Linked DNA regions of Callithrix jacchus. The protein of the gene in region 3 purifies or fractionates together with the protein of the main gene of each other region. This does not show direct contact. Links are inferred from orthologs where the notes say so. Each region holds a gene or a part of one and is shown on either strand. Other genes may lie near its edges.

The links.
Region 1: the proteins of KPNB1 (region 3) and DLGAP5 purify together in Homo sapiens (affinity purification with mass spectrometry; 4 studies listed by BioGRID and IntAct, with this or other methods). This does not show direct contact. The link is inferred for Callithrix jacchus from reciprocal best matches to the Homo sapiens genes KPNB1 and DLGAP5.
Region 2: the proteins of KPNB1 (region 3) and KPNA6 purify together in Homo sapiens (affinity purification with mass spectrometry; 4 studies listed by BioGRID and IntAct, with this or other methods). This does not show direct contact. The link is inferred for Callithrix jacchus from reciprocal best matches to the Homo sapiens genes KPNB1 and KPNA6.
Region 4: the proteins of KPNB1 (region 3) and NUSAP1 purify together in Homo sapiens (affinity purification with mass spectrometry; 3 studies listed by BioGRID and IntAct, counting the BioPlex papers as one, with this or other methods). This does not show direct contact. The link is inferred for Callithrix jacchus from reciprocal best matches to the Homo sapiens genes KPNB1 and NUSAP1.
Region 5: the proteins of KPNB1 (region 3) and NUP50 purify together in Homo sapiens (affinity purification with mass spectrometry; 4 studies listed by BioGRID and IntAct, counting the BioPlex papers as one, with this or other methods). This does not show direct contact. The link is inferred for Callithrix jacchus from reciprocal best matches to the Homo sapiens genes KPNB1 and NUP50.
Region 6: the proteins of KPNB1 (region 3) and RCC1 purify together in Homo sapiens (affinity purification with mass spectrometry; 3 studies listed by BioGRID and IntAct, counting the BioPlex papers as one, with this or other methods). This does not show direct contact. The link is inferred for Callithrix jacchus from reciprocal best matches to the Homo sapiens genes KPNB1 and RCC1.
Region 7: the proteins of KPNB1 (region 3) and NUP214 purify together in Homo sapiens (affinity purification with mass spectrometry; 3 studies listed by BioGRID and IntAct, with this or other methods). This does not show direct contact. The link is inferred for Callithrix jacchus from reciprocal best matches to the Homo sapiens genes KPNB1 and NUP214.

Annotation. Positions count from the first base shown.
Region 1 is NC_133509.1:89,761,185-89,765,454, reverse strand, and holds the start of DLGAP5 (disks large-associated protein 5), read left to right. Parts: upstream 1-1,470; 5' UTR 1,471-1,615; intron 1,616-4,121; 5' UTR 4,122-4,122; coding exon 4,123-4,270. UniProt on the Homo sapiens protein: Potential cell cycle regulator that may play a role in carcinogenesis of cancer cells. Mitotic phosphoprotein regulated by the ubiquitin-proteasome pathway.
Region 2 is NC_133508.1:68,747,175-68,751,442, forward strand, and holds the start of KPNA6 (importin subunit alpha-7), read left to right. Parts: upstream 1-1,468; 5' UTR 1,469-1,471; coding exon 1,472-1,565; intron 1,566-4,268. UniProt on the Homo sapiens protein: Functions in nuclear protein import as an adapter protein for nuclear receptor KPNB1. Binds specifically and directly to substrates containing either a simple or bipartite NLS motif.
Region 3 is NC_133506.1:118,641,086-118,644,585, forward strand, and holds part of KPNB1 (importin subunit beta-1), read right to left. Parts: intron 2,834-3,500; coding exon 2,633-2,833; intron 1,213-2,632; coding exon 1,060-1,212; intron 1-1,059.
Region 4 is NC_133509.1:45,265,340-45,269,422, reverse strand, and holds the start of NUSAP1 (nucleolar and spindle-associated protein 1), read left to right. Parts: upstream 1-1,283; 5' UTR 1,284-1,370; coding exon 1,371-1,463; intron 1,464-4,083. Other genes in the region: OIP5 (protein Mis18-beta), read right to left, coding at 37-103, 634-982. UniProt on the Homo sapiens protein: Microtubule-associated protein with the capacity to bundle and stabilize microtubules. May associate with chromosomes and promote the organization of mitotic spindle microtubules around them.
Region 5 is NC_133502.1:215,202,934-215,207,121, forward strand, and holds the start of NUP50 (nuclear pore complex protein Nup50), read left to right. Parts: upstream 1-1,388; 5' UTR 1,389-1,684; intron 1,685-4,188. UniProt on the Homo sapiens protein: Component of the nuclear pore complex that has a direct role in nuclear protein import. Actively displaces NLSs from importin-alpha, and facilitates disassembly of the importin-alpha:beta-cargo complex and importin recycling.
Region 6 is NC_133508.1:65,179,976-65,184,131, forward strand, and holds the start of RCC1 (regulator of chromosome condensation), read left to right. Parts: upstream 1-1,356; 5' UTR 1,357-1,431; intron 1,432-1,806; exon of another isoform or gene 1,807-2,309; intron 2,310-2,809; exon of another isoform or gene 2,810-3,022; intron 3,023-4,156. UniProt on the Homo sapiens protein: Guanine-nucleotide releasing factor that promotes the exchange of Ran-bound GDP by GTP, and thereby plays an important role in RAN-mediated functions in nuclear import and mitosis.
Region 7 is NC_133502.1:179,784,267-179,787,766, forward strand, and holds part of NUP214 (nuclear pore complex protein Nup214), read left to right. Parts: intron 1-1,116; coding exon 1,117-1,180; intron 1,181-1,659; coding exon 1,660-1,763; intron 1,764-3,482; coding exon 3,483-3,500. UniProt on the Homo sapiens protein: Part of the nuclear pore complex. Has a critical role in nucleocytoplasmic transport.

The DNA.
Region 1 (4,270 bases), on a different chromosome or scaffold from region 3:
GCCCACCTCAGCCTCCCAAAGTGCTGGGATTACAGGCATGAGCCACTGTTCCCAACCAGAAAGATGACCATTAAACACTGACAACCGAACATGCTGGAAAGCATGTGAAACAAGTGGAACTTTTATACATGGCTAGTGGGGATAGCAAAATGGTACAACCACTTTGGAAAACTGCTTGGTGATTCCTTATAAAGTTAGACACACCCATAACCAAGGGTGATGGCGCTCACCCATTCAGCTATTCAAGAGGCCAAGGCTGCAATGAGCTATGATTATACCTTTGTACTCTAGCCTAGGGGACAGAGAGACCCTGCTTCAAAAAAAAATTTTTTTTTACGTTAAACATACCCAGAATGACCCAGAAATTCCACTCCAGTATTTCCTCAAGAGAAATAAAATATGCCCACAAGGACTTGTACAAGAATGTTTACAGCAACTTTGCTCATATTAGCCAAAAATTGAAAGCAATACAAAGCTGTCCACTGGTGAATGTATAAAGTCCTCAATGGAATGCCTCTCAGTAACAAAAACTACTAACTTCTGGTTCATGCAGACCCAAAAGAGTACCTATCACTTTCATTTTTATGGCATTAGAGATAGAGGAGTGGTTGCTGATGCGGTGGGAGAAGGATTGGAAAGACACAGGCCACTCTTCTGAGTGGTGGAAATGCTGTATGTCCTGATTGGGTGGTAGTTACACAGGTGTTTACATTTACCAAAGCTCATCAAATTGTCGATTGGGGGAAAATACTATTATTTTCACTGTACAAAAACTTCACCTCAACAAAAAAATGGACTAGAAAAGAAATAAAGGGGGAGGGGTGCTGGTGACGTTGAAAAGCAACACTAAATGATGTAAGGAGATAACCGGGGTAAGCCTTTTGTTTAAAATGTCTAGTAAACATTCCAGGAAGGTCTGCTGGATTCTGTGACTAAACAAGAATATTAAAAAGCCCCTGAATCCAGCGTGGGCAACGCAGTGGGGCCCTGTCTCTACAAAAGTTTTTAAAAGTTAGCCCGCCGTGGTGGTGCGCACCTATAGTCCCAGCTATCCAGGAGCCTAAGGTGGGATAATGGTTTGAACCTGGGAGGTCCAGGCTGCAGTGAGCAGTGGCCCACTGCATGGCTCCCTGCATTCCAGCCTGGCGACAGAGTGAGGCCTTGTCTCAAAAAAAGAAAAAGAAAGAAAGAAGAAGCATTGCGAGCTTTGGGGGAGATTCCCGCAGCCCAGTTTTGCCAGGGTCCCAGCATCACCTCTCGGGCTCTGCCGCCCACTCTCGCACTTCACCTGACAGGTGCGCCCCCACCGCTCCACCCCTTCTCATACCGCATCGTCGTCCCGCCTTTTTTCCTTCCGCACCCATCTTTTGAACCATCCCTTCACCTTTCAATCAATTCAAATGTCGCACGGAGCAAACCAATCGCAAGCCTCGTCGAGTGGAAGGGGCGGGATCTTCCCCGGAAGTGTTTGTTAAAGTCCCTCCAATCAGAGGCTTGGTGCAGCAAGTTTGAATTTCGTGGAGGCTCGGGTTGTGAGGATTCCTGCTTCGGAGTTGGCGGTGGTCGTCCAGATCCTTACTTTTTGTTTGAGGTTTCACGCTAGAAGGTGCCTCAGGTAGGTGGGTCTAGAAGGGTCTAAGGACCGGGGGCTGCGAGCGGGAGCCAGTCAGAGGCAGGCTCCTCTAGGACTGTGTTACCTTGCCCTTTCGGAAGCTGATAAAGCGAGTCTCCAGAAGAGTCAGTCTGTTTGCCGTGACCTATCTACTAGTCAGCGTTTCACCACCGGGGCGTAATTGGCATTTGGGGTGAAATTATTCTTTACGTCGAGGGACGTTTAGCATCCCTAGCTCCGACAATAAATTCCCGTAGCTCTTCCCAGATACCATGACGACTAAAAACGCCCGATTGAGAACCTCAAGTCATGCAAAATTAACGCAGTCTAGACTTGCAAGCCGGAGGAAACGCCACTCAGCCAAACAAAATTTAGGTGTTTGTCAAGAGCCAGGCTGCCTGGCTTGGGATCCCAGCTCCACCAGCTTTTAACTATGCTAAAGTGAGCAGTTAATTTACCCCATCTGTTCATGAGAGATAATAGTAACCGCCTTTCAGGGTTATTCTGATAATTATACCTTTAATGTTCTCGCTCTTTCTCTCTGTTGCTGTGGATAGTGCTATCCCCTATTTAAAATAACTAATACATAAGCCTTAGTTGTTCTTCAACATTTACCAAATTAATACTGCCGGAGATAAATAGTGGAAGAGAGTTCTTGATAAAAAGTACAGTCAGTTGACATGCAGGTCAGACAGAGTCTCTTTTTTTTTTTTTTTGAGGTGGAGTTTTGCTCTTGTTGCCCAGGCTGGAGTGCAATGGCACAATCTCGGCCCACCGCAACCTCTGCCTCCCGGATTCAAGTGATTCTCCTACCTCAGCCTCCCAAGTAGCTCGTATTACAGGCACCCACCACCGTGCCTGGCTAATTTTGTGTTTTTAGTAGAGATGAGGTTTCTCCATGTTGGTCAGGCTGGTCTCAAACTCCCAACCTCAGGTGATCTGCCCGCCTCTGCCTCCCAAAGCGCTAGGATTACAGGCGTGAGCCACCACACCCAGCCCAGATTCTCATTTTTTATACTTTGTTGATTGCTTAGAATCGTGTAACAATTTATTGCATTTCTTGTGCCAATTTTTCCATTATCTGGAGTTTTCTAGTAGATTTAGTTCTTGTTGAAGATTATACCATAGTGTGTCTATCACAGAACCTTCCCCCATCCCCCCCCCCCCCTTTTTTTTTAACTGCCAAGACTTCTGAGAATCAGTACCCTTTCTCCAGTTTGGCTTGGTGGTTTTCTGTACCAGCTACACTGGTGACCCCCTCAAACTCCACTTTTCTTTGTTCTCCCCAGTTGGATCCACTGACATCGTCTTTATTGTCCTCTTTTGTTTTGCTTGAATATAGATCTTTCCTAGAAAAAGGTTGTGCCAAGTAAACTATATGATCTTGTGAGTGTGCATGTGTGTATGTATGGCTTTTCTTTTTTTAAATTTATAGAGACGGGGTTATGCTATGTTGCCCAGGCTGGTCTTGAACTCCTGGGCTCAAGCAGTCCTCCCGCCTCTGCCTCCCATAGTGGTAGGATTACAGGCCTAAGCCACCAGGCGGGCCTAAACTATATGATTTCTTGTTCTTGTATGGATGAAAATAATGGAGCAAAGTGATACGGTTATTGTGAACTATATATTTGGTCTTGTTCTGTTTTCTGGAAAACGCCTAAAATCCTTGGATATCTTTTTGTATGCTAATGATTGACAGATGGCTGGAGGCCTCTAAGTAGCTTCAGGATTGGGGCTGGTCACTAGACAGACCAAGCCAGGAGTAGAGAGTTGGGACTTTCAGCCCCACCTCACAACCTCTGCGAGGTGGGGGGAGAGGAGCTGAAGGTTGATTTGATCACCAATGGCCAATGATTTAATCACTCATGTGTATGTAATGAAGCTGACATTTTAAAAAAAACAAAAAACAAAACCTGGGTTTTGAGAGCTTCTAGATAGGTGAACACATGCAGGTTCCTAACCAGCAGTGCTACCTGAGGGAGCATGGAAGCTTCTTGTTCATTTCCACATACCTTTCCCTGTGCCTCTCTATCCAACTATCTGTGTCCAGTTGCCTGTTGATTGTTCCTACATGACTAGGAGGCACCTGGTGTGGGGTTTTTGTTTTTTTGGCTTTTGAAGAAATGTTAGACTACCTGCATTCATCATCATGGGTAAGGAAACCATTCTATACACAGTTCTTCACTTACTTACCCTATTCATCTATAGTTCATGCTTTTCTTTTTGCGGTGTTCTCTATGGTAAGCCCAGAGCCTCTTTTATTCTGTACTATAGCTTCTTGGCTTTCTCTTCATCGGTCAAGCAAGTTCCTATTTAAAACTCCCAAATCGGTTGTAGCTTCCTATGCTCTGATAATCTCCTTCCCACTTATCAGTGTTACATACTTATTTCATTGTGCATTTTCATATTTTATTTCAGAAGGCCCTGAAGTGGGACAGGAGATGAACTGTAATCTTAATTTTTTAAATAATGAAAATTCATGTAAGTTGGGTTTTGTGCTTTTCCTTGACAGGATGTCTTCACATTTTGCCAGTCGACATAGGAAGGATTTAAGTACTGAAATGATTAGAACCAAAATTGCTCACAGGAAATCACTGTCTCAGAAAGAAAGCAGACATAAGGAATATGAACGAAATAGACACTTTGGTTTGAAAGATGTAA
Region 2 (4,268 bases), on a different chromosome or scaffold from region 3:
CCCGGGTCTAAAGACAAGGCTTTAGTTAACTTGAATTTGGTATTAGATACTAGCAGGAGTCAATGCCTTCTTTAGATAATTACAGCCTATATTAGTTTGCTAGGGCCACTATAACAAAGAACCACAGATTGGGTGGTTTAAACAACAGAAAAGTATTTTCTCACAGTTGTAGTGGCTAGAAGTCTGAGATCAAGTTGTCAGAAGGGACCAGGCACAGTGGCTCATAGCTGTAATCCCAGCACTTTGGGAGGCCAGGGCAAGCCTATCATGATGTCAGAAGATCGAGACTATCCTGACCAACATGGTGAAACCCCATCTCTACTAAAAATGCAAAAATTAGCTGGGCATGGTGGCGGGCGCCTATAATCCCAGCTACTTGGGAGGATGAGGCAGGAGACTAGCTTGAACCCAGGAGGCAGAGGTTGTAGTGAGCCAAGGTCACACCACTGCACTCCAGCCTGGTGACAGAGCAAGACTCTGTCTCAAAAAAAAAAAAAGTTTACAGAAGAGTTGGTTTCTTAGACCTTTGTTATTTATTGGCTTCTAGATAGCTGTCTTCATGTTCACATGGTGTTCTCCCTCTCTTGTTTTAAGGATACCAGTTATGGATTAGGGCCTACCCCAGTAACTTTATTTACCTTAATTACCTCTTTAGGGACTCTATTTCCAAATTCAGTCACATTTTGAGGTATCAGGGTTTAGGACTTCATCGTATGAATTTGGAGCAGACGATGATTCAGGCATTTTAGGGCCCATACCTATTTTGTATTATCATTGCTAGTTTTTTTGGTTTTGAAAGCTTAGAAAGTGCATGGCAACATTAGACATTTATTCCCTAGAAATGGAAGGTGTAACTTCAGAGACCTATTCACTTTGAGAGAGTTCCTTGTCTAAGAAAACCCACAGAAAACTGGATGCAGTGGCTCATGCCTGTAATCCCAACATTTTGGGAGGCTGAGGTGGGTGGATCACCTGAGGTTGGGAGTTCGAGACCAGCCTGACCAACATGGTGAAATCCTGACTCTACTAAAAATACAAAAATTAGCTGGGCATATTGTCAGGCGTCTGTAATCCCAGCTACTTGGGAGGCTGAGGCGGAGAATCACTTGAACCCAGGAGGCGAAGGTTGTGGTGAGCCGAGATCATGCCACTGCACTCCAGCCTGGGCAACACAGTGAGACTCTCAAAAAGAGAGAGAGAGAGAGACAGAGACAGAACCCAAAGACAGTCTAGGACAGTCAGATGCTAGAAAAGATTTATTCGTATTGTAGATCTTAAAAAATTCATCGACAGCAAGTAAGGGAGTACATAATGGAAAAAGCCACTGGCCTGCTGTTTCCCTGAGATTCCAGATGTGCTTTTGCAGATGTTCCTCCTTCCAATCTAACCTCCCTTGTCTGCTTCCCCAGTGAGGTCATAAGCAAATATTTGTGTTAGTTTCTTGTCACCATGGTGACTAAAGAAGCTCAGCATGGTGCTCCTTCCAGCTTCACTGTCAGCTGTGCTTGAAGGAGAGGCTAGCGTCCAGGACAGCCTAGGCTCAGTCATGAAAAGCCACGTGTCAGGTAAATAGGGGACAGCAGTTCACAGTGCTGCCTTTAGAAATCTGTCCTCTACCATGTTAGTCTCACAGGGATAATCAGGCCTCAAAGGGAGTGCAGTGGCACAGACACAGCTCACTTATAGCCTCAACCTCCTGGGCTCAAGTAATCCTCCTGCCTCAGCCTCCCAACTAGCTGGGACTGCAGGTGTGTACCACCATGCCAAGATAATTTTTGTATTTTTTGTGGAGATGGGGTTTCACCATATTGCTCAGGCTGCTCTGGAACTCCTGGGCTCAAGCAGTCTGCCCACTTTGGCCTCCCAAAATTCTGGCAATATAGGCTTGAGCCCAGGCTACAATGCCAGTTTAAAAAAAAAAAGAAAAAGATTATTCCAACCTGGCCAACATGGAAAAACCCTGTCTCTACTAAAAATAAAAAAGTTAGCTGGGCATGGTGGTGGGCACCTGTAATCCCAGCTACTCAGATTACAAGAAACTCACTCAAGAAAATCACTTGAATCCAGGAGGCGGAGGGTACAGTGAGCTGAGGTCGCACCACTGCACTCTAGTCTAGGTGACAGAGCAAGACTCTGTCTCAAAAAAAAAAAAAAACTTCGTGGTAAAATGTATGTAACAAAATTTTTCATTTGAGTGTACAATTCAGTGGCATTAATTACAATTACACTGTTATGTGACCATCATCACCAATATCTATTTCCAAACATTTTACTGCCTCTAACAGAAATTTTTTTTTTTTTTTTTTTTGAGACGGAGTTTCGCTCTTGTTACCCAGGCTGGAGTGCAATGGCACGATCTCAGCTCACCACAACCTCTGCCTCCTGGGTTCAGGCAATTCTCCTGCCTTAGCCTCCTGAGTAGCTGGGATTACAGGCACGCGCCACCATGCCCAGCTAATTTTTTGTAATTTTAGTAGAGACGGGGTTTCACCATGTTGATCAGGATGGTCTCTATCTCTCATGATCCACCCGCCTCGGCCTCCCAAAGTGCTGGGATTACAGGCTTGAGCCACCGCGCCCGGCCCAGAAATTCTTTACCCACTAAGAAATACCTCCCTATTTTCCTTTCCTCTCAGCACCTGGTAACCTCTAAGCTACTTTCTGTCTCTGAGTTTGACTCTAGGGACATCAAGTAAGTGAAATAAGATTTGTCCTTTTGTGTTTTGCTTATTTCACTTAGCATGTTAATTTCAAGGTTTGATCATATTGTAGCATGTATTAGACCTTCATTGCTTTTTATGGCTGAATGATATTCATGGTATACATATACAGTAGTCCTTTTCTTATCCAGAGGGAATATATTTCAAGATCCCCTGTAGATAGCTGCAATGGCAGATGGTACCAAACCCTATATACTATGTTATTTCCTATACATACATACCTATGACAAGGTTTAATTTATAAATTAGGCCCAACAAGAGATTAAAAACAATAATAAGAGAACAGTTATAACAGTATGCCAGCATCATCACTCTTACACTTTGTTAAGTAAAATAAGGATTACTTGAACACAAACCCTGCAATATCTGCTACGAGCTGGCAGTGTATATAGTGTGGATACACTGTACAAAGAGATGATTCATGTCCCAGTTGGAATAGAGCGGGTTAGTGTGAGATTTCATTATGCTACTTGGAATAATATGAAATTTAAAACTTATGAATTGTTTATATCTGGAAATTTCCATTTAATATTTTCAGACCACAATTGTCTATGGGTAACTGACACTTTGCAAAGCAAAACTGTGAATAAGGGAGGAATAGTATAAGAGTACAATTGCTGGATTATATAGTAGTTACGTTTAATTTTTTTAGAAACCACTATTCTGTTTTCCACAGTGGCTGTACCATTTTCCATTCTTACCGGCAATCTACCAGGTTCTAGATTCTAGCCAATGTGTGCTTTTATTATTTTTATTCCATCCTAGTAGGTGTGGATTAGTATCTCATTGTGGTTTTTAAAACTTTTTTTTTTAAAGATGGAGTTTTGCTCTTGTTGTCCAGGCTGGGGTGCAATGGCGTGATCTCAGCTCACCTCAACCTCCGCCTCCCAGGTTCAAGTGCCTCAGCCGCCTGAGTAGCTGGGATTACAGGTGTGCACCACCATACCCGGCTAATTTTGTATTTTTAGTAGTGGGGGGGTTTCTCTATGTTGGTCAGGCTGGTCTCAAATTCCCGACCTCAGGTAATCAGTCTGACTCGGGCTCCTGAAGTGTTGGGATTATAGGCGTGAGCCACTGTGCCTGGCCTAAAACTTTTTTATTTATGTTTTTCAATCAGCTTTCTCAGGTTGAGTCATTGTAACTCTACCTCCTGAGTTCAAGTGATTCTCTTGCCTCAGTTTCCCAAGTGGCTGGGATTACAGGTGCCGGTCACCGCCACACCCAGCTAACTTTTGTATTTTAGTAGAGACGGGGTTTCACCATGTTGGCCAGACTGGTCTCAAACTCCTGACCTCAAGTGATTCACCAGCCTCGACCTCCCAAAGTGCTGGGAGTACAAGCATAAGCCACCGTGCCCAACCTTGATTTGTATTTCTCTAAGGACTAATGATGTTGAACATCTTCTCATATGCATATTGGCCATTTATATATGCTTTTAGAGAAATGTCTATTCAAATTGTTTACCCATTTTTAAATTGGGTTGTCTTTTTGTTCAATTGTAGAAATTCTTTATTCTGGATGTTAAACCGTAATCAGATACGTAATTTG
Region 3 (3,500 bases):
ACCAATGACTGAGAAAGGGGAAAATGAGGAGTTGTTGTTCAATATGTACAGTTTCAGTTTTGCAAGATAAAAAGGTTCTGGAGATTGTTTCTATAGCAATGTGAATCTACTTAACTGCACATTTAAAAATGATTAAGATGGTTAAATTTTATGTTATGTATTGCATTTTCAGCCAAAACGTTTATATGTATCTCTTCATTTATTTTATTTTTTTGAGACAGTCTTGCTCTGTTGCCCAGTCTGGAATACAGCGGTGCAATCTTGCAGCCTTGAACTCTGGGCTCAAGAGATCCCCACCTCAGCTTCCCAAATAGCTGGGATTATAGGCACGTGCCAGAGCACCCGGCTATATGTTGCTATAATTATTTCATTTTTCCTTTTTTTTTCCCCATTATAAGCCCTGTAAACACAAGAGCTCACCAAACAGGTTAAAAACTCAGTTGTTCCTCTCCACAGAAATCTTTATTTTTTAGAGACAGGATCTTATTACATTGCCCAGGCTAGTCTCAAACTCCTGGCCCTCTTGCCTTGGTGGCCCAATGTGCTGGGATTATGGATGTGAGCCCTGGCACTCAGCCTCCACGAAATCTTTAATAAAAGGCAGAAAATTCATGCAATTTTAAAAGAAAACAAAGTATATAGGATATACCATAATTTGTTTGCTTCTTTTTTTAAGAGATGGTATGTGACTTTGTTATCCAGGCTGGCCTGAATAACTGGCCTCAAGCAATCCTCCTGCCTCAGCCTCTGAAGTAACTGGGACTACAAATATGAATCATCACACCCTATAATTAAAAAAACCCAACAACATTCCACACTTTGGACTGCAAAAGGAAAAACCTAAGCTAAGAAATACTTTATTTCCAAAAGCATGATGAGGAATGGCAAATACTCCATGGCATATCTCACACAATACAAACTTGACTAAACAGGAAACAAAATACTTTTAAGTAGGTGGTACTTTCTAAATCATAAACTTAAGAAAACAAAACAAAAAACTTTCATTTAACTCTTTCATTCCTTACTATCTGAATCTACCTCTTTGTCAAAAAAACTTACCTCTTTATCAAAGTTTGCTTTGGTGAACTCCAATGAGTTCAGGAGTGCATTAGTAGCAGCTAGCTTCACATTATTACTAGGCTCTTCTTTCCTCATCCCCTGGATTATGGCAGTCAAAATCTCATTGGATTTATCTTGTAGCTGCTCTGGGTCCTGTAACAAGCAGAGAAGTACAATGAATATACAGTTGGCCCTCTGCAGCCATTTGTGGACTCAAGCAACTATGGATTGAAAATATTCAGAGGAAAAAAAAATGGACAGTTACATTTGTACTGCATCAAAAGGTGTGCATTCACCTTTATTTTATTGTCATTATTTCCTTAATACAGTATACCAACTATTAATATAGCATTTACATTAAATTAGGTGTTGTAACTATTCTAGAGCTGATTTAAAGTATATGGGAGGATGTCCATAGGTTATATGCAAATATTACACTATTTTATGTAACAGATTTGAACATCTGAGGATTTTGGTACCTGAGGGTCTTGGAATCAATCCCCTCCAGAAGACTGTCATAAGGAGCTCAAGCAGTCTTTTTCTGTTCTTAAGAGAGTGTCTCACTATTTTGCCCAGTCTGGAATGCAGTGACTATTCACAGGCACTATCACAGTGCACTGTGCCCTCAAATTCCTGGGTTCAAACAATCCTCCCACCTCAGCTTCCCAAGTAGCTGGGACCACAGGTATATGCTACTGTGCCTGGCTTAATCGGCAGTACTTTTAACTGTAAAATTCACTCAAGAAAGTATCATGACTTGGTGGTCTTTCCCCACCCATTTCCATTTGGGAATAGCACTGCAAACCACCTGCAAAGTATCCCATGGTATTGGCAGTTCAAAACTGAACAAAAACAAGTCAAACTCATCAACTTAATCTTTGACTTCTTAGCATAATGACTGTGGGTATAAGGTAATACTAGCTTTCTCCCCCTCTGTGCAAATGAAGATGGCAGCCTGGTGGCTGCCAGGCCATCTGTACACTCAAGTAAAGCTTCAGGACATTTAAGGACCAAGGATCAATACCTGGGCACATCTAGGGAGTCTAAGTCCACGTCAAATGCTGTGTGCTCCTTTGCTTCATAAAGTCTATACATATATATAAATAGACACCACGGGTGGTGGTGTTCCTCATCAGGAACAACAGTGCTAGGAGGGCTGCGTCTGTGTCTCCAGTGGCTAAACCAACTACATCAAGAGTTGACAAAACTTTCTGTAAAGCAGTAAATGAAAATGCACCATGACATTCATGGTACATGCAAGATCTTAAGAAAAAGGATTGGGTTAGGGATGCTCCAAATGAAAATCTCCTCGTTTTGTATGTCTAGAATCTAAGCTTCTTCAAACATTGACTTCCATTTTGAGTTTGTAGTCCTCAGGTTTCTTTACTTTAGGGTATGATTAGCAATGTGAAGAAAGAGGCCTAAGGGAAATAAATCAGTCTTACTTTCAAAACATTGTGCAGTTTCAATTGGCTTTCTTCGTTGTTCAATAAGGTAGTACACTAATACCATTCATGTCACAGCTAGAGGCAATCACAGGTATATAAACCAGGTAAATTAGGCAAGCACTTACTATATCTTGGCAAATATAACCGATAGCTTCCAATGTTGACTCCTTCATATGCTCTGTGCTGCTGGGGTTTGTGACATTGGCCACCAGCTGAGGAATGAGTTCTGGCCACTGGTTTACTGGGATCTCTGCACAAGCAATACCAGCCACACACTGTGAGGCAGAACTAGGCCGGTAAGTTTCTGTGCCCAATGTCTGCAAAACCTGCACCAAAAGAAGACAAAAGATACATATTTCTAACACTCTATTTGACCACATTTTGCCCACCACCATATTCAGTGTCTCTGATTTTTTTTTTCCCTTAAGACGGTCTCACTCTGCTGCCCAGACTGGAGAGCAGTGGCATGATCACAGCTCACTGCAGCCTCAACCTCTGTTGCACAATCTACCCTCCAGCCTTAGCCTCGTGAGTAGCTGGGACTACAGGGGTGGGCATGCCAACACACTCAGTTATTTTTTGTAGAGACAGGGCATCACCATATTGCCCAGGCTCTTTAGAAAAAAAAAGGAAAGGAAAAAACAAGGTCTCATTGTGTTGTCCAGGGTGAAGTGCAGTGGCACAATGATACTGCAGCCTCACCCTCCCAGGCCTTCCAAGAGTAGCTTAGGCTACAGGCACACACCACCATACCGTACCCAGCCAACATTTTTTGATATTAAGTAGGGATAGGGGTCTCCCTATGTTGCTCAGGCTGGTCTCAAATCCCTGGCCTCCCAAAGTGCTAGGATTACAGGTGTGAGCCACTGCACACAGGCAGTGTCTTAGAATTCTTCTCTGTGATATCAAGAAGTATAAAAGGCTGTCAGAGAAAAAATCAGCCTCAGTAGCAACATTAGCACAATCAACACTGCCCCAGAATCTAGAAACAAA
Region 4 (4,083 bases), on a different chromosome or scaffold from region 3:
GAGACTCGAAACCAATATGTAATTTTCAATACGTACCTGCCTTTGAGTGAACCTTCAATGCCAACTAGGAAGGGCGCTTCCAAAACGATGTTATTTGTAACTCCTAAAAAGACAAACATGGGTCAGAACCCAACCTCTCCGGGCCTTGAAACGGAAAAATATCAGGCAGGCGCGGTGGCTCATGCCTGTAATCCCAGCACTTTGGGAGGCCTGAGGCAGGCGGATCACGAGGTCAGGAGTTCGAGACCACCCTGGCCAACATGGTGAAACCCCAGCTCTACTAAAAATACAATAATTAGCCGGACCTGGTGGCAGGTGCCTGTAATCCCAGCTATTCAGGAGGCTGGGGCAGGAGAATCGCTTGAACTTGGGAGGCATAAGTTGCAGTGAGCCGAGATCACGCCACTGCACTCCAGCCTGGCGACAGAGCGAGACTCTTGTCTTAAAAAAAAAAAGGAAAATCTCTCCTATAGACAGACTCATCCTCGCCATAAACATCAGGAGACTCCCCGGCTCCCTGCCCCATCCTCAGGTCACGAAGTTATTGCCTCAAATTTTCATCCCGTTTTCTTCCCCCGGTGGTTCTCCTCCACCGATGGAGAAAGCGGAACAGCCTCTCGGGCTCGTCTCTACCTTTCCCGAATGCCGCATTGCACTCACTGGAGAAGACCACGGCCCCGAGGGATCGCGACAGGTCCCAGGCGAGATGCACCGAATCGGCGAGCACCGCGTGGCACTGTGCGCACTGGAACACAGCGCACCGCTCAGGCTGCAGCCAAGACGGTAGCTGCTGGCCGGTGGCCAGCTCCTCAGCCTCCAGCCCCGCGGGGCCGAGCGGCGAGGACCCGTTCACCACGTGAGTATCCCACTCCATGGAGGTCGTAAAAGAAGCTTCGTCAATCGTCCTCTCAGTGCCATCGCAAAAGTCAACCTGGGGTGGCCTTGCACGCGGCGAAAAACGCCGCCGGGGCTGAGCCGCCATCTTCCTGCAGCCGGCGCCTCCGTTTCGAATACACGCTAGGCCACGCCCCAAGCACAGCTCCTGCGTCCTCATTGGACATCGTGGGCAGCGGGGTCTGCTCTGCGCTGGTTACCTGCACACGCCTTGCAGGCACTTCAGGCACCCGCGCATTCCTGAGATGTGGGAAAAGCGCGCGTCTGATGGGACGGGAAATCAGCCTTTCTATTGGTCAGGGTTAGAAATCCCGCCTTTGGGGCATTTTCAACCAGTGGAAGCGCGGCATTCTTCATTTTTTAAACTGTATGTAAATTTCTGTTTGGTCAAAGCTGGAAGTGGAGCCAGGGATTTCAACTGTTCTACCGGAGTTGTGTGATCCGTCTTCTGAGTATCGCCGGAATTTCGAATCGCGATGGTCGTCCCCTCCCTAGAGGAGCTGGACTCCCTCAAGTACAGCGACCTGCAGAACTTAGCCAAGAGTCTGGGTCTCCGGGCCAACCTGAGGGTATGGTGCTGGCGGTGCAGGCCCCTGGGCGGGATCCGCGGGAATAGCGGCCTTGGGGAGATGTGGTGCGAAGGGATAGAGCGGGAAGCCCGGGGCCGAGGCGGCTGTCCCTGCCCCTCGAGCTGTAGATGTAGTTCACGGTGGTCCCAGTTAGAACTCAGCGAAACGGAAAAAGAACTGTAGTTTTCACCTCATTTTGAGGCTGGCTGCTCTTGGTGTTTTTGCTGGTTTGTTGTTTTGTTTTGTTTTTGAAATTATACCTCTCAGGGCATTGATGACGAAACGCAGGCCCAGAAAGCCCTGTTGTTAATCGTTAGACAGTTAAATACGTAATTGGCTTAGCTGCTAGAAAACTCCCCAACAGTTAGACTTCAGTGATTTGTAATATTGCCGATCATTTCTTGATGCTTTGTTGGTGGACCTGTCAGGGAAAAAAAAACAAAAAACGACTTTTAGAGGACCACCTCCATGGGTGAATTTTTATAACTCAGCGCTGATCTAGTGTAATCATGTACTTATTGATGACTACTGTGGCGATGGTCTCGTTCAAAACCAGTAAGGTCTTTGACTCCAAGGCTGCAAGATGTTTTGGAGAATTGGCCGGGCGCGGTGGCTCGCACCTGTAATCCCAGCACTTTAGGAGGCCGAGGCAGGCGGATCACCTGAGGTCAAGAGTTGGAGACCAGTCTAGTCATTAAAAAATGAACCAGGCGTCGAACGCTGGAGCGGACGTTTAGCCGGGATCATGCAACTGCACTCCAGCCTCAGGGACAGAGCAAGACTCTATTTCTCAAAAAAAAGAAGAAGAAGATTTGGGCATTCAATGTTGGATTGCAGTTTTATATACTTTCTTAATAGTTGAGACTTTCCACTTAATACTGCTGTATACTCTGGAGTTTTGTCCTGCAGGCTATGATACTGACACTGAATAAATGCCTAAATCAGTCATCACAAACGTTTTTAAATGGTTTAAATAAAATAATTAGAGCCTAGGTGCCTGTTGGGGCTGAATGACCAAAGGGTTGTCCTTGGGGATATTTCTGAGCAAGAGTGGCTAATGGCTCCCCTATAAATTCCTTAGGCCTTTTTGCTGCCTGGCTGGAGTCTTTTATCCAAGGCTGTATCCCTGAACACTTGGCACTTTTATCCATCTTTGTGCAATTGCTTATTTTGACCCTTTGGCCTCAGATCCCCTTCTCTCTCCTTTATCTGCCTGGCTAATTGTGTGTGTGTGTGTGTGTGTGTGTGTGTGTGTGTCTGTATTTTTAGTAGAGATAGGGTTTCACCATTTTGCCGAGGTTGGTCTTGAACTCCTGAGCTCAAGTGATCCTCCAGCCACGGCCTCCCAAAGTGCTGAGATTACAGGCATGAGCCACCACACCTGGCCCATATCAAGTATTTATAGGTAAAATGTCATGATAACTGCAAAATTTGCTGTAAAATACTCGAGGAAAAAGGGAGAAACTAGGTGAAGAATAGCATAATGTTAATAATTACTGAAACTGGTGATAGGTACATGGGATTGTACTATTCTCTCCAGTTTTGTAGGTTTGAAATTTTCCATAATATGTTTTAAATTACTTCCTGTTGGTACATCCCAAGAGCTCATTAAGTCAATTGCCTTTTGAAATCTAGTACATAGCAAAAATATTAATAAAATTCTCTGAGAAATTATCAAGATTTCATGAAAATGAAACAACACAATTTAAATAAATTTTACTAGTATGATATTTTTAATAATTTTGTGACTGGGCATGGTGTCTTCTGCTTATAATGCCAGCATTTGGGAGGCCAAGGCAGGTGGATCACCTGAGGTCAGAAGTTCAAGATCAGCCTGGCCAACATGGTGAAACCCTGTCTCTACTAAAAATACAAAAATTAGCTGGGCGTGGTGGCCAGCACCTGTAATCCCAGCTACTCAAGAGGCTGAGACAGGAGAATTGCTTAAACCAGGGAGGCGGATGATGCAGTCATGGGAGATCTCACCATTGCACTCCAGCCTGGGCGATAAGAGCAAAACTCCGTCTAAAAATACTACTACTACTACTAATAAATTTATAGGAGAGAATATTAGCTCTTTCTTTTGAGAGACTTCTCTTAATGGTAAAGAAAATTGAAGAAACCAGTTATTAATGTTTGTGTGGCCACTGGACCTTTTCTCAATCATGTCCTCACTTCCTTTCTTGTGAGCTTAAATTACAAATACTGGCACTATTTCCACTTCCTTGCACCTCCCTCTACTCACCTGGCAAAACCGAAGCCTGATTAAACCCAGCTATGTGCTTAATCTTTGCTTATATGTCTGCAGCTAACTCTAGCTGGAGAAAAATACCTAACTTTGTTGACTGAGCTAATTTTAGATATATGACTGTAAACCTTAAAATGAGAATTTGATCCTCCTCCCCCCCCACCCCCAGAGATAAGGTCTCGTTCTGTTGCCCAGGCTTCAGTGGCATAATCAGGGCCCACTGCAGCCTCAATCTACCAGGCTCAAGCCATCCTCTCCCCTCAGCCTCCCAAGTAGGTGGGATTATAGGCACGTGCCACCATACCTGGCCCATTTCCTTGTTAGTCATGAACTTTCCTACTTTTGATACTTCTTATCTTGACTCAACTTGGC
Region 5 (4,188 bases), on a different chromosome or scaffold from region 3:
CTGACCTCAGGTAATCCACCAGCCTCGGCCTCCCACAGTGCTGGGATTACAGGAGTGCGCCACCACGCTGACCTGTGTCATTCTCTAACCCTTGCCTCCCCTTTAAAACCTAACAATATCTTTTTTTTTTTTTTTTTTTTTTGAGATGGAGTTTCGCTCTTGTTACCCAGGATGGAGTGCAATGGCGCGATCTCGGCTCACCGCAACCTCCGCCTCCTGGGTTCAGGCAATTCTCCTGCCTCAGCCTCCCGAGTAGCTGGGATTACATGCACGCGCCACCATGCCCAGCTAATTTTTTGTAATTTTTAGTAGAGACGGGGTTTCACCATGTTGACCAGGATGGTCTCGATCTCTTGACCTCGTGATCCACCCGCCTCGGCCTCCCAAAGTGCTGGGATTACAGGCTTGAGCCACCGCGCCGGGCCTAAAACCTAACAATATCTTAAGAACGAAAGCATTTGCTGGGCGCAGTGGCTCACGTCTCTAATCCCAGCACTTTGGGAGCCCGAGGCTGGTGGATCACCTGAGGTCAGGAGTTCGAGACCAGCCTGGCCAACCTGGTGAAACCTCGTCTCTACCGAAAATACAAAAAGTAGCCGGGCGTGATGGCGCCTGCCTGTAGTCCCAGCTGCTCGGGAGGCTGAGGCAGGAGGGAATGACAGGGCCTGGGATGAGGGATCGCAAGCTGCTGGGGAGAAAGGCGCTCAGAGGCTGCCGAGCCTGTGGACTCCCTCAGCGCGGAAGCCACGGGGCTCGTTCCCCCAGCTGACGGCTGAACACGAAGGGATCTCAGTGTCTGAAAAGACACAAGGCGCCCGACGCAAAAACACGTGTCAGTCGTCTGCTGAACGACGAGGGGGTCCTTTAACGGGCGGTCCACACGGCCCCTCCCAGCGCCGCGACGCAGCCCCTCGGGGCCCCCCCGGCTGCGAACCGCCAGCACGGACACCTGGGCGGGGCCGCCTGACTTGGGAAGCGACTCCCGAGGGTCGCGGGCGGCCTGTCCTCAGCCCTAAAGCTCCCACACGCGGACACCGCAGGCTTCGGACACGTTCCACCGACTGACCTTCCTAGCCGGAGCTCCTCGCGCATCGCCAGCCCCTCAGCGGCGACTAGCGCAGGAACAGCCTAGAAGACGCACAGCCAGCCCCGCTCGAGCGAGCGGACAGCTCAAGCCGCTGCGTTGACAGCCGACGCCGCTATTAAGGTCGGCACATGCGCGCTTGCGCGAGATGGGCGCGCTCCGCCCCACGCGGGTTTCCAGGGAACTGGGCGCATGCGCCGCGTGAGGGGCCCGGCGGGCGGAAGGCGGTGCTGCGGCTGTGTCTCCGGCGCGCTTGCGCAATAGCTGAACGCGGGCGTTTCTTTCCTCCCTTTTTTTTCGAATTGCTTTTGGGGGTAGATTCGAGTTACAAAATGGCCGCCCGGAGCGTGTTCCGCGGCGTTCCCCCAGCGGTCTCCGGCTGAGCCGGCGCTGTCGCCTCCCTGCCGAACACAGCGTGAGGGGCCTCCCCCGGGGATATGGTGTTTGTGTCTCAGGGCTTGCGGAGCACCGAGTCCTCTGAGAGCCGCAGTGCAGCACCGGAAGCGGCCGAGCGCGCACAGCCGGGCCACCACCAGCCGCTTCAACACCCAGCGCCGCCGCGCCCAAGACCAAGCTAGTGCTGCGGCCGCCGCTTGGCAGGTAAGATGCGGCTGCTGGCGCCAGAGGGAAACGGGCTGAGGGCGGGAGCCTGGTGCTGAGAGCCCAGGGCCGGGAGGGCGGGAGCGGGCTCGGGCTCGGGCCTGGGTGGGGAGTGCGAGTGCGGGGCTGGGGACTCTCGGGAGGGGAGTGCCGGTCCAGGACTGGGGAACCGGACCCTGGGGATGCGGATGGGGGTTCAAAGGCGGGGGTGGGACCCTGGGGAGAGAGAGGAGCCGGGGAACGGGACCTCGTGGAGTGGGACGTGGGTTCAGGGCCGGGATCCTAGGTAGGAGGGTGCGGGGCCGGGGGACCGGACCCTGGGAGGGGCATGCGGGGCTGGAGAACCGGACCCTGGGGAGCGGGGTGCAGGGCTAGGGGCGGGAACCCTAGGGAGGGAGCCGTGGGTCGGGCGCGCGGGCGGGCGGAGGGTGGGGTGGGATGACAGCGGCGGGGCTCGGGCCTCCCCGGGCTGAGGCGCTGGACTGGAGTGAGGCTCGCCCTTGGGCCCCGGCGGAGGTAAGGGGCTGGCGGGGGCGGTCTCGGCTTGGTCGTCTCCGTTTCCTTCCTTGCGATTCCTCTCGATTCTTCTCTCTCCCTGGCCCCCCCTCGTCTCTCTTCTCCTGGCCCCATTACCTCTCTGGCCTGCCTTCGCTTTCTTTTTTGTTTTTTGAGACGGAGTTTCGCTCTCGTTACCCAGGCTGGAGTGCAATGGCGCGATCTCGGCTCACCGCAACCTCCGCCTCCTGGGCTCAGGCAATTCTCCTGCCTCAGCCTCCTGAGTAGCTGGGATTACAGGCACGCGCCACCATGCCCAGCTAATTTTTTGTATTTTTAGTAGAGATGGGGTTTCACCATGTTGACCAGGATGGTCTCGATCTCTTGACCTCGTGATCCACCCGCCTCGGCCTCCCAAAGTGCTGGGATTACGGCGTGAGCCACTGCGCCCGGACGTAATTTTTGTATTTTTAGTAGAGACGGGGTTTCACCATGTTGACCAGGATGGTCTCGATCTCTTGACCTCGTGATCCACCCGCCTCGGCCTCCCAAAGTGCTGGGATTACGGCGTGAGCCACTGCGCCCGGACGTAATTTTTGTATTTTTAGTAGAGACGGGGTTTCACCATGTTGACCAGGATGGTCTCGATCTCTTGACCTCGTGATCCACCCGCCTCGGCCTCCCAAAGTGCTGGGATTACGGCGTGAGCCACTGCGCCCGGACGTAATTTTTGTATTTTTAGTAGAGACGGGGTTTCACCATGTTGACCAGGATGGTCTCGATCTCTTGACCTCGTGATCCACCCGCCTCGGCCTCCCAAAGTGCTGCGATTACAGGCGTGAGCCACCGCGCCCGGCCCTGGCTTCGCTTTCTTACTGCGTTCCCGGGTCATCGATCACTCCTTTGCTCAATTCCATTAAGAAACAGTTTGGAGATTTGGTATTTCTGTCTCCTTGGTTGGTCCCCTTGTTCTCTTCCTCCAACAAGGCACCTCACTATTAAATATAGCCAAATCTGTGTTTTCGTTTTAAGCTGATGTTGACAAGTTCAGCTTCAAGGGCAGAGCGGCATCGATGCCAGAGACCACGTAACTATATCAGGCACATGTAATGTTTTGTCCAGTTTACCTAGTCTACTACCACATTGCTTCATCCCTAGCAATCATGTCAAACTTGGTGTGTGTGTGTGTGTTTTACCCACAAGCACAAACGTTTTTAAAATTTCCTTTTATTGGTTGTTTGAGATTCCGGTCACCAGGCCAGAGTGTAGTAGTGGCTCGCTGTAGCCTCAACCTCCTGGGCTCAGGTGCTTCTCCTGCGTCAGTCTTCCAAGTAGCTGGGACCACATGTGTGCTCCACCTTGCCCGGCTAAGTTTTTATTTGTATTTATTCATCTAATCTATGTCTCTGAATTTTTGTAGAGACCAGGTAAGTTTCCAACTCCTGGCTTTCAGTAATCCTTCGGCCTCCCTTAAATTTTTTATAATAAGAGCTAGATTAAGACTGTCCAGGTGACAGCCTTGTTTCTGAATAGGTTACAGAGTGTTATATTTTTTTTTCCACTTCTAGCATAAAAGGAAAATGTATTGTCTGACGTGTCATGCTTTGAAATAAAATAGGGATTTGGTAGAATGTTTTTAAAAGTCTGATTTGTAATCCAGGTTATTCTTCCATGCTGCAGTGCTACAGCTTTCAAGTTTTGGACGGAAGATGGTAGTTCATAGCCTTTGCTTCTAACTAAACTTGTTTTTTAAATAATTCATTAAGCCCTTCCTCTGTTCCAGGCACTGTTTTGTTGTTGTTGTTTTAGACGAGTCTCACTCTGTCGCCTAGGGCTAGAGTGCAGTGGCGCAATCTTGGCTCACTGCAACCTCCACCTCCCAGATTCAAGCGATTCTCTTGCCTCAGCCTCCTGAGTAGCTGGGACCACAGCCACCCACCACCACGCCTGGCTAATTTTTGTATTTTTAGTAGAGATGGGGTTTTACTATGTTGGCCAAGCTGGCCTCG
Region 6 (4,156 bases), on a different chromosome or scaffold from region 3:
CTAATTTTTTGTATTTTTAGTAGAGACGGGGTTTCACCATGTTGACCAGAATGGTCTCCATCTCTTGACCTCGTGATCCACCCGCCTCGGCCTCCCAAAGTGCTGGGATTACAGGCTTGAGCCACCGCGCCCGGCCCACCCTTTCTCTACTTAAAAATACAAAAATTAGTCAGGCATGGTGGCACTCATCTGTAATCCCAGCTACTTGGGAGGCTAAGCCATGAGAATTGCTTGAACCCAGGAGGTGGAGGTTGTGGTGAGCCGAGAGCATGTGATTGCACTCCAGCCTGGGCGACAGAGCAAGACTGTCTCAAAAAAAAAAAAAAAAGAAAACCCAGAATAAAGGGTCTTACAAAATAGGGAATAGTAATAATAATCCACTTATTATTATTACATGAAGCTACATGAATGCGTAAGATCTTGGAGGAAGACAGCAGAGAGAGATTAAAGATCCCAGGGTTAAAAGTTGGAGAGATTTCACTGTACATCATCCAAAAAAGGAGTCCATGATGGAGGCAGAGACACACTTGGAGAGGTAAGATACCCTGACAACATGGGGAGTGCTTTGTGGCAGGCTCTGAATAGAAGAAATTCAGCCTGGCCAACAAGGCGAAACCCCGTCTCTAATAAAAATACAAAAATTGGCTGGGCATGGTGGAGCGCACCTGTAGTCCCAGCTACTCGGGAGGCTGAGACAGGAGAATCGCTTGGACCTGGGAGGTGGAGGTTGCAGTGAGCCAAAATCGCTGCCACTGCTCCAGCCTGGGCGACACAGGAAGACTCCGTCTCAAAAAAAAAAAAAGACTGGGTGTTCATATACATGTGAGATGTGCCTCCCTCAAACCTTGTTAAGACATGGGCACATACCCACGGGGAAAAAAATCTGGTCATGCCATTCCCGTGCCCAAATCCCCATATTTCCCCACGACCTCAGGATAGAGGGAACAAGCCCTCCTAGACTTAACTTGGAAAGCCGTTTTTAAGCCCCAGGCTGAGTCACATGCCCCTGTGGGTATCCGTGTCATAGCGCTGTGTGGTTGTTGATAGATTTCTCATCCTTCTCCATGGACACCCTCTTGAGGGTAGGGAAGATGAGTATCTTTTTTCTTCTTACAGACCCTACCGCACCAGATTTTCCTAAACAGACACGAATTCAAGAAGTTTTTTGGGTTGTTACCCCGCTTGTCCCGATTTGGGGTTTCCAAAATACACACCCACTGGAACCCGGGCCAGGGGAGCCAGCCTGCCCAAGAGCTCCCCGAGCCCGGGAGCGCGCCACATGCAGATCGCGGGATGGCCGCCAGGGGCCGCCGGGCTCTTTGTTTTCCTTTCTCGCCCGGGTCGGGGCCAGAGGCCTGCAGAGCGCATGCTCTGGGGCAGTTCGGGCCGGGCGGGGAGCGCTGGAGTTCCTTGGGGCCGACGTGCAACGAGGTAGGTCTCGCTACGGACCCGCGGAGGGTCCGGGCGGAGGGTGGCGCGTGGGGCGGCCGCAGGCGAAGCACGGGCTGGTCCACGCGGGACTAGGTCGCTGCCCGCTCTAGGCCCTGTCGCGCGGCGCCGGCCCCACGTGAAGCCCGGCTGCTGGAAGGCGCGGTGCGGGCTCACGATTCCTTGGCCCCGCGGGACGCTCGGACGGCCGCTGGGCTCCGCCTCGCGGAGCCAGGGCCGCACTGCCCCTCCGCCGCCGCGCCTCTCACGCCCGCGCCGCGGCGCCCGCGCAGGCGGGAGATTCAAACGGCGCGAGCGCGGTGGTCCGGGTGCGCGCGGCCGCTCGGGCAGGGGCTGCGTCTCTTCCGCGAGGAGGGTGGTTTTGTCTGGCATGCGCTTGAAGAAGGCGGTTTGCAAAGCGGGGAGGGCGCCCTGCCCGGAAGAGGTTGGGTGGTGCTGCGGCGAGAGAAGCCCCAGCGTCGGCGGGCACCGCTGTGGACCCTTGGGAGCCGTGTGTCTCGAACTCTGCAGCAGCTCAGTCTGTCAAGCAAATTATTTGTTGGCCATCTATTCCGTGCTGTTCTTGCGGGGCTGGGGGACAGTAGTGACAAGGGCGGGCTCCCGTCGCCCTCCTTACCGAGCTCTGGGGTTCCTTGGAGAGACCTCATGTGGGTCCAAAGTTAAGGTCCAGTGTGATCAGCGAACTATGCCCTTGAGCCCGGGCGACGGACGCTACTAGGGAGTCATTCATTCATCAGATATTGACTGAACTCCTCCATCCACGTGTGACTTGTGTGCCCTAGCAGAAGTTGAGTATGTGGGATGTTATGATAATCCTCACGGGAAAGCCCACCCTGCCAAGGAGGCTCAGGTCTTTCCAGGTGAAGTGACTCTTGAACGGGGTTTTGAAGGAATAGGTTTTTCAGGCAGCTTGAGGATAGTGGGATTAGGGTGATTCAGGCAGAGGGACAACACGTGCAAAGGCATGAAGGAATAGTTATTGTGGTCAGTTACCATAGGTCTTGAGGTGACCGGAGGAGGAGAGTAGCAAGATGATACAGCAGGAGCTAGGTCACGAAGGGTCTTGTGTGCAAGGCTAAGGAACAGGGAGGGGGTGGAGGAGGCAGGGAAGGTTCCCCCCAAAAAGCGCATCAGAGTGAAACCTGGACAGATGAATTAGGAGTTCACAAGGCTCCTGTTTCAAAGACATTCCCAGAGGAGGAATCCTGTTCTGTTGTTCACCTTTACAGCTTTCTCATCAGGTGCCCCTGGGCAATCCACCCAGACCCCCTGAGCATTGGTTTTCTTTTCTGTAAAGTGATGAGGGGGGCGCATGTGGTGAGGATGACTAATATTCTTTAATTGTTTTTTTCTGATACAGAATCTCCCTCTATTGCCCAGGCTGGAGTTCAGTGTTGTGCTCTCGGTCACTGCAGCCTCCGCTTCCTGGGTTCAAGCAATTCTGCCTCAGTCTCCCAAGTGGTAACTTTCATAAAGTAGTGATTCCAACGGCTAGTGGAAGTTGTGGCTCCCTTCCCCCAGGAAAAATAAACACATAGGCCCAGGCACAGCTTGTATACAACGAGGATCCCTGGTGAGAAACTCCTAGTGTAAAATATGCCAGCTCTGTGCCTGGCATAACAGCACCTCAGCAAATGTATGTTGTTGACACATCAGCCCTCTCCTCCTCTCCTGGGGACCTTTCACACAAAGAGATTTTTCAGCCTGAGTCTGGCAGGCAAGTTCTATCCCCTGGCATGGGGGACAGAGGGCACAGCTGCAGTGGCCTGGGAGGGCTCTGTCTTCTTTTATTGAAATGAGGCTGTGGTGAGGTCAGGGCAGGAGCACAAGGCTCTGGGTAGACTGTCTAGACTGGCGTGCCTACCTGCTTTCTTCAGCAAATAAGGAAAGTGAGCTGGAGGAGGGCGGCTCTGGCCCTGGTGGGGCGTGATCATGAGACTGGGGTTTCGTTCCAGGTGACCCACCAGGGTCTCATCTTCCCTGAGCCTCCTCTTCCCCTTAGCTGTAAAACCAGGATGAGTCCGCTCACCTCAAGGTCAGCTGTGGACATTCTGGAGTATCTGTGGTGGAAGGTGATTCTGTAGCCAACTTATCGGTGACTATATCACTCTTTTCCCAGAGTATAAGCTCCTTGAAGATGGAAGCTGTGTTGGGTGGGGCTGGGCGGGGAAGCATGACAGCAAAAGCCAACTCCTTATTCCCAACCCAGACACTCACTGCCTGGTTAAGCAAACACAGCCAGAGAGGCCAGGCTCGGTGGCTCACACCTGTAATCCCAGCACTTTGGGAGTCTGAGGTGGGCAGATCACAAGGTCGAGAGACCATTCTGGCCAACATGGTGAAATCTTGTCTCTACTAAAAATACAAAGATTAGCCAGGTGTGGTGGTGTGCACCTGTAGTCCTAGCTACGCGGGAGGCTGAGACAGGAAAATCGCTTGAACCTGGGAGGCAGAGGTTGCAGTGAGCCGAGATCTCCCCGCTGCATTCCAGCCTAGTGACAGAGTGAGACTCCGTTTCAAAAAAGCAAAAACAAAACAAAAACAGCCTGGCATGGTGGCACGTACCTGTAGTCCCAGTACTAGGGAGGCTGAGGCAGGAGAATCGTTTGAACCTCTGAGGCAGAGGTTGCAGTGAGCTGAGATCGTACTACTGAACACCAGCCTGGGCAACAGAGTGAAGCACTATCTCAAAAAAAAAAAAGATAGA
Region 7 (3,500 bases), on a different chromosome or scaffold from region 3:
CCCGAGACTGTTCTCTGCAGGGGAGGGGCGCAGAGTAGTGAACGTAGGTCGTATAGGTCTGAGGTTAAGGTTATGTTTCTTATTTGTTATTACCAAAAGTTATATGAAATTTGGTATTTGTTATTACCAAAAGTTATATGAAATTATAGAGCATTAACCTGTAAAAAGATAATGCAGTTTATTTAATGTTCTTGCTTTGTTGTTTACCTTAAAATTTTTTTCTTCTTCTTGCTTGCTTTTTTTTTTTTTTAAGAGATGATCTTGTTCTGTTGCCCAGGCTGGGGTGCATTGGTGTGATAACATAATGACTCACTGCAGCCTCAGCCTTCCAGGGCTCAAGTGATCCTTCCACCTCAGCCTCCTGGGTAGCTGGGATTACAGGCACTTGCCACCATGCCCAGCTAATTTTTGTGTTTTTTGTAGAGACAGCGTTTTGCCATATTGCCCAGGCTGGACTCAGATTCCTGGGCTCAAGCAGTGTGCCTACCTTGACCTGGGATACAGATGTGAGCCACCTCGCCCAGCCTTATTCCAGTATTGATCATTGTCTGCATCAGTGCTAGTGATGTTGCTGTTGGGAATGGTGTTGCATTGGCTACTTTAATTACCTATGTCTGAACATATTCCTATGTTTTTTTCTTTTTTTTTTTTTGAGACGGAGTTTTGTTCTTGTCTCCCAGGCTGGAGTGCAATGGTGCAATCTCGACTCACTGCAACCTCCACCTCCTAGATTCAAGCAATTCTCCTGCCTCAGTCTCCCAAGTCTCTGGGATTACAGGCACTTGCCTCCATGCCCAGCTAATTTTTGTGTTTTTTGTAGAGACGAGGTTTTGCCATGTTGGCTAGACCAGTCTCAAATTTCTGACCTCAGGTGATCTACCCAGCTCAGCCTCCCAAAGAGCTGGAATTACAGGCATGAGCTGCCACACCCAGCCATGTTCATGCATTTCTGTAGGATGAAGTCCTAGAAGTAGACAACACTGTTCTGTTTATTCAGTCTCTCCTAGCCAAGGAGTTGGAACAGGTGGCATCTAGGGAACAGATGGATTTGACAGTTTCATTGGTTTAGGGATTGTTTCATTTGATACTTTATTATCCCCTCCAAATCTCTTTCAGACTTTGCAGGAAAAAAAAGTCATTCCTTGTCCTCCATTTTATGAGGCAGATCATCCTGTCAGAGGTAACAACTGCTTTTCTTATTGGGCTGACCTCTAACGATGTGTTACGTGTATTGCAGAAATTCATAATCATGTGATGTACCTGCCCAGTGAGGTGTTGCTGCTTGCTTCCTGAATAATGTCACTATTTCAAACAGCTAATTAAGTCAGTGTAAATTATGGCCCTCTGGTGACATCTGTGTTTCATGGTAAATGACATGAAATGGATCCTGACTTTTTGTTACAGTTCTTCATAATTTGCCCTGATTATAATCAAGCAGAAAAATTACCATTTGAGGATGAGTTTGGGCTTCTTGGGTCTTTGTACCTGTGAATTATATTAATCAATGAAATCTGGGCCTTTGTTAAAGCTATAGTATTTTGATTTTTTTATTCGTCATATATGTTATAGTTTGCAGTAGCTATTCCAAACGTGAGATGCTTTTGGCTGTATCTGGTTGCTGTGATTTTTATGACCTGCTGATTAGGGTGTGTCTTTCAGTTCTGGATGTGCTGTGGATTGGTACATATGTCTTCACAATAGTGTATGCTGCTGCAGATGGGACCCTGGAAACATCTCCAGATGTGGTTATGGCTCTACTACCGGTATGCATGTGAAAGAAACATCATTGTTTAAGAATTAGAGAAGTCTTCCAATAAAGCTGGAGGCTTTGATTTCAAGATTGGGTGTGTGTGTGTGTGTGTGTGTGTGTGTGTGTGTGTGTGTGTTGAGACAGGATCTCACTCTGTTGCCCAGGCTGGAGTACAGTGACGCAGTCTTGCCTCACTAAAGCCTGAACCTCCTAGACTCAAGTGATCATCCCACCTCTCAACTTTCTGAGTAGCCGGTGCTACAGGTACACACCACTATGCCCAGCTAATTTTTGTAATTTTTTTTTTTGTAGAGATGGGGTTTTTCCATGTTGCCCAGGCTGGTCTTGAACTCCTGAGCTGAAGTGATCCACCCACCTAGGCCTCCCAAAGTACTGGGATTACAGGTGTGCATCACCACACCTAACCTGATTTCAGGTTCTTTTACTTACTGGCAGTGATTATGCAACTTCAGGTATAAGGTTTCCATGCTGTACCGTGGGCCTGCAGTCCAAAATTGGAGTGTTCACTTAAAGTGTTCTACTGTTTTGTTATAAGGTTAAAAAGGTAAATGATTTTGCTTAAGCTATAAACTCTGAGTCTTGGTTAGCTTGATAAAGAAATTTTAGAAAGCAAGACAGTATCTTGATTTTTAAAATTATTTCATTTGCCCTCAAATATTTAATGCCAACAGTGTGCTAGGGGCTGCTTTAAAGTTGACTGTATAGCAGTGATCAAGGTTATGGCCTTGCTTTTATGGTCTACATTTCTTTGTTGTTGTTTTTAATTTTTATTTATTTTTGTCTCACTCTGTTGCCCAGGCTGGAGTGTAGTGGTATGATCAGAGCTCATTATAGCCTCAAATTCTTGGGCTTAAGCCATCTTCCTGCCTCAGCCTCCTGAGTAGCTGGGACCACAGGCATGCACCACCACATCCAGCTATTTTTAAATTTTTGGTGGAGATGGCGTCTTGCTTTATTGCCGAGCCTGGTCTTGAACTCCTGGCTTCAAGCAGTTCTCCTGTCTCAACCTCTCAAAGTGCTGGGATTACAGGCCTGAGCCACCACACCTGGCTGGTCTTACATTCTAATGTGATAGTTAATAATTAAGTGTGAGATCAAGGACTGATCAGAGTGATGGAGACAATAAAGCCGTGTTAGGATAGATGATGACTAGTGTGTGCTTAAGATTGGGTGGTCAGGGGAGGACAATTTGATATTTGAAAAGGATGTCTTGTTTTTAACTCTTTTGGGTTTTAAGGTTGAATTTTTAAAATACGTTTACCTAGATGCCTTATTTTAAGTTATAATTAGAGGTTTTTTTTATTCTGGGCGATAATATTAACACTAGTATTTATTAACTGCTATTTATGTTTTATGTACTGGGCTTGAAGTTTTATATATATCATTTCATTTCACACTTAAAAATAGCCTCTGAAGTAGGCTTAGTAGGTCTAGTATACACATGAGAACAGTAAGTATCAGGAAGGTTAAAAAATCTGCTTGTCTCATGGGCAGAAAGTGGAGGAACAGAGTTTAAATGCAGTTCGGTTGAGGCCAATGTTTGTATTCCTTGTTCTAAATGCTGCCTTTATACCATGTCCTCATATCTATACTTAGACTTTGAGTGAATATTCTTATAAAACTTTAAATGATTTATCATTTGATATTCTTGTACTATAGGATCTGAGAAAAATTGCACATGAGAATTTTTTTCTTGGTTTATTTATTGTAGAAAAAAGAAGAAAAGCAC